2 linked regions of the Yarrowia lipolytica genome follow. The protein of the gene in region 1 interacts with the protein of each later gene in a pairwise test. Links are inferred from orthologs where the notes say so. Each region holds a gene or a part of one and is shown on either strand. Other genes may lie near its edges. The genes, in order: YALI1_B06245g and YALI1_C25576g.

Region 1 (4,115 bases):
ATCAGTCTTAAGCGAAACCTAGATCTGGATAGAGCCTGAAAGTCATCACGATTATTGGCAGACTAGAACGGGGTAAAACTCAAGAAAGTGGGTGTTGAACTGGAGAAAACCAATCAAGGACGTCTCATGCATAAATTGGTCTTTTTTTTTGGTTTTTCTTCACGACATCTACAGCCCACCCAAACATTGGATCCACTCTGCAGCGCATCGTCATCCTGCACTGTTTCAGCTGGCTGGTTCTACTGCGTAGAGTGTCTCGGAGATGTCTCGGAGAGGCGATGAGAATGGAGGAAGAGCATGTCTTGTGTATTTCCTCGATAGTGGCTCCAAATTGGATCAGAAGATGGCAAATGGCAAATTCGACCCATAACTGGGTGGTTTTTATGTCCTTCTACAGGTACAGTACAGTATGTACAGTATGTACTTGTCTCGTTCTCATGTTCTGAACTGCTAATATTAGATGAGATTCCATTTGAGTCAACTTTTCCAAAGCGAAGCACGCTCAAGCAAGTTCCTGGGTTATCTCGTCGCTGCTGATCCCTCTAATTCAGCTCACCACTTCTTCATGCCCAACTCCGATCTGATACCACCAGCATGGTGGTGGCAAAAGTGATATAGAAACAGTTGAGCATACACCCATAAATACATACAGTAACTCCCTCATGCTCGTAAGTTGGCTCAATCATATGATTTATTGAATAAATAAGTCAGTGTCGAATGTTCATGTTCGTCTTAAAAAGATGTTATCCACTAGTGACACCCTTTCAATCACTCGTTACCAAGTGGAGGCCAGACCCTGGTCAACCTTCTCCACCTCCTGATAATGCGCAGTCACCAGCTTGTCTTCATCATGGGGTCCCCACACCTTTGTGGCCCAGTCCACCACCTCTTCACTGACGGCCTCTGAGGGGATGGAGTTGTACATTTTTTCTGTCTCATCCTTCCATTCACGTGCAGCAACTCCCTCGGGAGCTCCCACTTGCCCTCCTCCATTGATACATCCTCCAGGGCAAGCCATGACCTCAATGTACGAGTAAGTGGAAGGGTTGAGGGCAGCAGAAACGGTCTTTGTGCTCTTTCTGGCCGAAACAACCTTGCCCTTACCCCGGCTGGGCTTTAGCTTCCGAACCAGGTTCTGGATGTTTCTGAAGCCGTAGACCTGAGCGGCAGAAGCCACCGTTTCTCCAGTCTCCGTGTCAATGACAGAGTACTCCATAACGTCCTGGTTTTTGCCCATGGACGCGTCCACACGGGTTCGAGTTTCCAGGGGGTCATGCCGCAGCCTCAACGCCGTCAGAACATGATGCAAATATCCCCCTGAAGACGACCCAACGTGGTTCGCCCAGTCTCGCTCAGCAGGCCAGGTTTCGGGCACTGAAGTGTAGAGACGGCTTTTGTCAATCTCGGGAAGACCACCGAAACTCATGTCTTTCTCTGTCAGCAGTTGGACCACTTCCTTGGTGGTGATGACACAGTCCACGTCTCTGATTTTTTCCTCCTGGCCGGCCTCTTCGACAGAAAACTCGTCGCGCGACGCCTCCAACTTCTTGTCGAAACACGGCATGACACTCACGTGATACACCTGGCTGGGCTTGACTCTTCTCGTGTCACAAATGACCTTTTTGAGTAGAGATCCACAAATCTGCTGAGGAGATTTGACACTCGAGAGGTAGGGAATGACGTGGGGATGGGTTTTTTCGACGTAGCAGACCCATCCGGGACACGATGCAGCCATGACGGGTTTCTGTGTCGACTTCTCCACCTCCTGGGCGCTGTGGATCAACGAAATCTCCCGTCCCACGCCCATGCCCACCACGTAATCAAACCCCAGAGTGTCCAACAGTAGAGAGTGCAGTTTGGCATCGGCCACCTCCACAGACACCCCAAAGGCCGCCGCAAAACTTGCTCGGGCCTGGTGGCTCACCGAGCACACAAAAATGCGTTTTTCGCCACTGGGTAGCTCTGCCTCCTTCTTGAGCTCATCGAGTAGCTGGGTATGGCTCTGAAGAGCCACCAAAACACTCTCTGCCGACGTGATGCAGCCCGAGCATGCCAGGCAGTCGCTTAGAGACAGCTGCGCCGGCTCCAGCTCTTTTTGTGTCCCATCGATGCCCACCTCCAGGGCCTGTCCTTGGGCTCCGATTTCGATCTCAGCGTTTTCAGTTGTCTTGTCCACCTTGATCGGCTTGATACACACCGCTCCGGGCGAGATGAAGTCGTTTAGGTCGTCTGCTGACAATATCGAAGACATGACGGGCGTGTGTGTACGAGTAGGCGGTTGTGTAAGTGGAGAAAGATGTAGGAGTTCGGATCCTTCTTTTTCCTGCACCCCGGTTATCTAGGTTTGATGTTAGTAATAAGAAATGTGTCACGGGCGTATGGCCGATATCGCACCAGTTGCTGGAGTGGCAAAAAATGCTCCGATTTGATTGGCTCAAATTTATTTGTAGTTGGGAAGAGCAGAGCTATGGATCAGCCCAAAAAAGTACCCCTCCATACATACAAATATTCCCTGTTGAAGACATCCGAAGCGCGCTGACTCACAACCTAATCTGAAAAAAGATGAATAAATATGGAGAGAGAAATATGGAGAAAGAAATATGGAGAAAGAAGTAGCAACGTTGGCAGGAAAGAGAACCAGCTGCTTAGAGAGGAGAGAAAGGGAACTAGCTGACTTGAGATGTTCAGCGAAGCGTCGATGAATGCGGCAGTTACAGTCATTAACAAAAGAGTCCAATATGGAGGAGTTCGAGACGTGATGTAGATACCATGACGGCCATATTTAGACGAACGAGCTCTGCCATCTGTGAAGACCATGTGTATCTCCGTGAGTTGTCTACGAGAAGAGATTGGAAAAGAGATTGTGTTCGAGTACTAGTGATGATAAAGGGGTACAATACAGTAGTGATAGATATATGAACACAAGTACGCACGGTACCACACCGATAGTTGCAACATTCGTCAGCATCTCAATATGTAGAAGGCAAAAACAACAGTACAGTAGGTGGTGATGCTGCAAGTTCTGTATGGTTATTTTGGGATCTTTGGGTATCAAAATGATTTTCTCGGTGCGACATTTTCTATGGTGTAATTATTATTTCATTATTTCTACTTTTTACCGCATTTTCCGCAACATATCGCTATATCGCATTTTCCGCAATATATCAATTTTCATGCAGAACTTTAGCTCGATTAAAGGCGGCTTTTTCGGGAGTTTTTTTGTCTCGATGGGTTTTTAATTTATGACGTGCGGCGGAACGGTTTTTTTTGATGTTGGGAAACTTTCAAAAAAATTGTTACAAAAAAAAGCGTCAGCTATGGCACAACTTTCAGTCATAAAATATCTTTGTAGACGCTGAAAACAACAAAAAAAAAAACAACAACAAAAAACCAACCAACCAACCAACCCATGGCACCACTTTAGGAGGCAGAAAACATCTTGTAGACGTTGGTGCCGATCTTCTCAATCGCAAAGTAGACGTCATCCTGGCGTATGTACTGTATGTACTGTACATACTGTACTTGGCCCGTTGAAGAACGCCTTCCACTGTATGTTGAAAACATCTGGTGGTTGACCTGGAATGCGACTGGCTCCCGATGCTGGTTCACCCTGTTCTCATGGCCCGTAGCCTGTCCATGCAAGCATCCATCTGGTGATGCCCCTTGGTGAGCTCCCGAGTCGATCCATCGTTGATCCGTCTGGAATGTCTCCATACACGGCCTTGAATGGTGGGTATCCGGTGGACGAGAGATTTGCTGAGTTCATCGCGAGCTCGATGACAGGTACAGTTGGCCGAGATCCCAGTTCTGTCTGTGACAAAGTGCTGCTTCATCTTTGGATCAGCTAGGTGTTCGCTCTTTCTGACTGTCTGGGGTGGTTGACCGTGAAGAGCTCGAGCTCCGTGTCCAGGCGTGCCTGCAACGTCTGCCATAGCTTCGCCGGGAATTGCTTGTCTCTGTCCGACACGCCCAGAACGAGCTACCTCGTGATACCGCATGATTCCGTCGAGGTACATGTCCGCCAGATCTTCCAGACATGCAGACTGCCAAACTGGAGGAGTCGCACCTTTCGCGGACAGAGACCAGACCAGATACAGCCTGTTGAAAGACATTGA
Region 2 (3,355 bases), on another chromosome or scaffold:
GTCGGTCTTTGGCTCATGCTGGTTGCTGTGTAGGAAGTTGTCGTGTTATATAGTCAAGTCTCGTTGTCGAGGTGATGATACATGTGTGTGGTTATGCACTATTGGTAACCTTAAAACGTGTATGACGTAGGAGATTTAGATTCGAAGGAGATTCAGATTCGAAGGAGATTGCAGACCGCGCAAAAAGAGTGATAAATGCACTGTACACTGAATAACCAAGCCATTTCATTACATGTCACGTGAATCTATGGAACAAAACGGACTATGTCCGTGTTTTGGCCGCACAACGGTTTCTGTTCTAGCCCGCCCTTAGTTTTTTTTTTTCTGCATATACATTCATTTAATTATAACTTTGCCGTGAAAGAATAACCTTTGAAATGAGGTGTTCTATTGTTGCGTGTTGAACTCGCACTAAAAAGTTAAAACCAGACTTGATTTGTAGGGAGTGCTTCCTTCGATATGCCGTGTTTAGACAAATTTGCAACCGGCTTTGAGAAAGTCAGAAAAAAAATCGGAGAAAACTAGAAAATGAACGAAAAAACAACAGAAATCATCTCCATGTAAATATATTCCGATCAAACCTCCCAGATATTCACAACTCCGTCATCGCCAGAAGTAACCAACTTGTCGTCCAACCAAACGACATCGTTCACTTCATAGACACCATGAGCGTTCTCGACCTCAGACTCAACCACCCACTGGCCAGGACCGTTCTCCTTGTAGACCACAAGCTTACCGTCGGCACCGGTGGAGGCGATTCGTCCGTTCTTGTTCCATGCAACAGAGTAGATGGCTCGAGTGTGTGCTTCAGGCAGAGTAGCCTGCTGAATCCACTCCTCAGAGAGAGGATCAGCCCGGAAAGCAGGTCGGATGCCGGAGTGGTCACCTGTACCTCCAACCTGTCCCTCCTTTTTCCACACAATGCATGTTTTGTCGTCCGAACAGCTGACTAGTCTGAGATCAGAACCCTCAGAGGGCTCAAAAGCACACCCCCAAACAGTGGACTCATGTCCTCCGAGGTCGGCAACACAGATCCAATCGTCGTCGTCCTCGCGCCATAGCCGCACGGTATCGTCGTAACTGGCACTGGCAAACACCATCTCTGAAGGGTGCCAGGCGACATGCTTCACGTCTTGAGTGTGGTCCTGCAGCACAGATATACACTCGAACTCGTCATTCATGTCGTCAGCCTCCCACACCCATATACTCTTGTCTCGGGAACATGTGGCGAGCAGCTGGCCGTCACATGACCAGCTGACTCCCTTGACCTCGTTTTCGTGGCCCTCAATAGCCGCCAAAAACTGCCACTCGTCGTCCTCTTTGCCCCAGATGCTGACTGTGGAGTCGAAGCTTCCGAGCGCCAGCGACGGGGACGAGCCGCTGGGCTTCCAGGCCACTGAGCGCACAGATCGGTTGTGGCCCTCGGTGATGGTCGTCACCAGCTCCCAGTTGTTTGTGTTGTAGATTCGCACAGTTTTGTCGCCCGAGCACGTGGCCAGAAGAGGCAGGTTGGGGTGGACGGACGCTGCCCACGCCCGGTCCGTGTGTCCTTTCAGTGCCTTGATCAGCTGCATTTGGTGGTGATGTCAAGATGATGGTAGTGAGTAATAGCCTGCAGGCTTGCACTAGAAAGTTAAACTGATGGCGTCGAGACCTGGCAGTGAGGACAGTCGAGACCGTCAAGAGCCTGAGATCGGAGGGTGTTTGAATATTGGTTCAACTGGATTTTCCGCGGTATATATTTTGAAACTATTTTCGTTTTCTCTTGCACTTCTTCGTCGCCTTTCGTAGGGAGTGGTGTATCATGTTCAGGGAAAAAAGTGAAATAAAGGCTGAACAACATTCTGTAAATGCGTCAAAAATCGGGGAAAAATATGAAAAAATGAAAAGAAGTCAACAAGAGCTTTATGAAATTACCGAATAAACACATAATTTCAACGACTTTGTCAAATATCTAGCCTCTAGAACTCCCGTTTTATCACCGTCGTCTAACTTCTGTCCTCTAAAGTTCACATTTGGTAAACTTAATCAACGCACGGTAGAAACGAAACTGCAGCATCTGAAAAACTCCACAGACTCCGCAACTCACACAAATGTTCCGCATAGGACTAATTGGACTCCGGGCCAGCCGGCCTGTGCTACTGAAGCCGATCCAAAGACCCCAGCTTCTGTTTCGGCCGGTGTCTCCCTTCACAACTGGACGACATCTGTTCCAGAAAGATGCTCACAACGACCACCCCAAGAAGGATGCTGAAAACAAGCCCGAAAACGACAAGGAGCAGTCCAACGAGATGGTAAAGAAAGACACCACGTTTGATCAGCTCCCCCACATCCCTGATCCCAAGGCCGAGGCTTTGGCGAAGAAAAACGGCTACGTCCCCGCCAAAGAGTGGGTCCGAGAGTCGTTTGAGATGCCTAAAACTGACGTGCGACGGCCCCATATGCTGAAATGGAAGGCCCTAGACGGCCATGGACCCAAACTGTTTGCCCTCGCGGTCATTCTGTGGATCATTTGGTGTGCTTACATGGTTACTGGACGAGGAGGTAACGAGGGAGGAGAGACTACTCTGGCAAACAACGCCTTTGTCAAGTACAAGATTGTCAAGAAGATGAAGATCAGCGACGACGTGGAGCTGATTGAATTTAAGGGACCGGAACGATCCATGCTCCAGCCCAAGTATGCAGAGTACTGGGATGGTCACAGAATGTTTTCTGTTCACATTAGACAGCCTGACGTGCAGGTTGTACGATCCTACACTCCTCTACCCGTTTACATGATGCAGGATGTTGATGGAAAGGATCCTTTGGTCAAGATCATCAGTTGGGATACCGACTACAATGGCTTTTGCATGATCATCAAGAAGTACGAGAACGGAGAAGTCGCAAAGTGGATCCAATCCCTGCCAATTGGCACCGATGTGGACATTCGAGGTCCATTTATTGATGCTGTCATTCCGGAAATTCCTGCTGACGTTAAGCCTCCCAGAGCTCCCATGGAGGATATGCCCAGTCGAATCCCGGCTGACTGGAAGTACCTGGACGTTCCCAAACCCGACAACCTGGTCTTCTTTGCTGGAGGAACCGGAATCGCCTCTGTTTTGCAGGCCCTTTTGTCTACCAATCCTCCTCGAGGCTGCGTCGACATTCACTACTCTGTGCGAACCCGTGATGAGGTCCCCTTTGAACGTCTTCTCTACTTTCTGCAAAAGCTCGGTCGAATCCGACTCTTCATGTACGTGGACAAGGAAAACAAGTTCATCTCGAGTAAGGACATTCCCCAACCTGCTCCTTTGAACATCAAGCCCAACACTGATACCACCGACTACAACAACGCTCTGGAGCAGGCAGCGGCCCA

Evidence for each region.
Region 2: the proteins of YALI1_B06245g (region 1) and YALI1_C25576g interact in binary tests that used the Saccharomyces cerevisiae proteins (3 or more experiments, as listed by UniProt). The link is inferred for Yarrowia lipolytica from reciprocal best matches to the Saccharomyces cerevisiae genes NAR1 and CIA1.

Annotation. Positions count from the first base shown.
Region 1 is NC_090771.1:622,321-626,435, forward strand, and holds YALI1_B06245g (uncharacterized protein), read right to left. Parts: upstream 2,252-4,115; coding exon 776-2,251; downstream 1-775. Other genes in the region: YALI1_B06264g (uncharacterized protein), read right to left, coding at 3,606-4,112. UniProt on the Saccharomyces cerevisiae protein: Essential component of a cytosolic Fe/S protein assembly machinery. Required for maturation of extramitochondrial Fe/S proteins. May play a role in the transfer of pre-assembled Fe/S clusters to target apoproteins.
Region 2 is NC_090772.1:2,556,080-2,559,434, forward strand, and holds YALI1_C25576g (uncharacterized protein), read right to left. Parts: upstream 1,575-3,355; coding exon 576-1,574; downstream 1-575. Other genes in the region: YALI1_C25560g (uncharacterized protein), read right to left, coding at 1-17; YALI1_C25581g (uncharacterized protein), read left to right, coding at 2,094-3,355. UniProt on the Saccharomyces cerevisiae protein: Essential component of the cytosolic iron-sulfur (Fe/S) protein assembly machinery. Required for the maturation of extramitochondrial Fe/S proteins.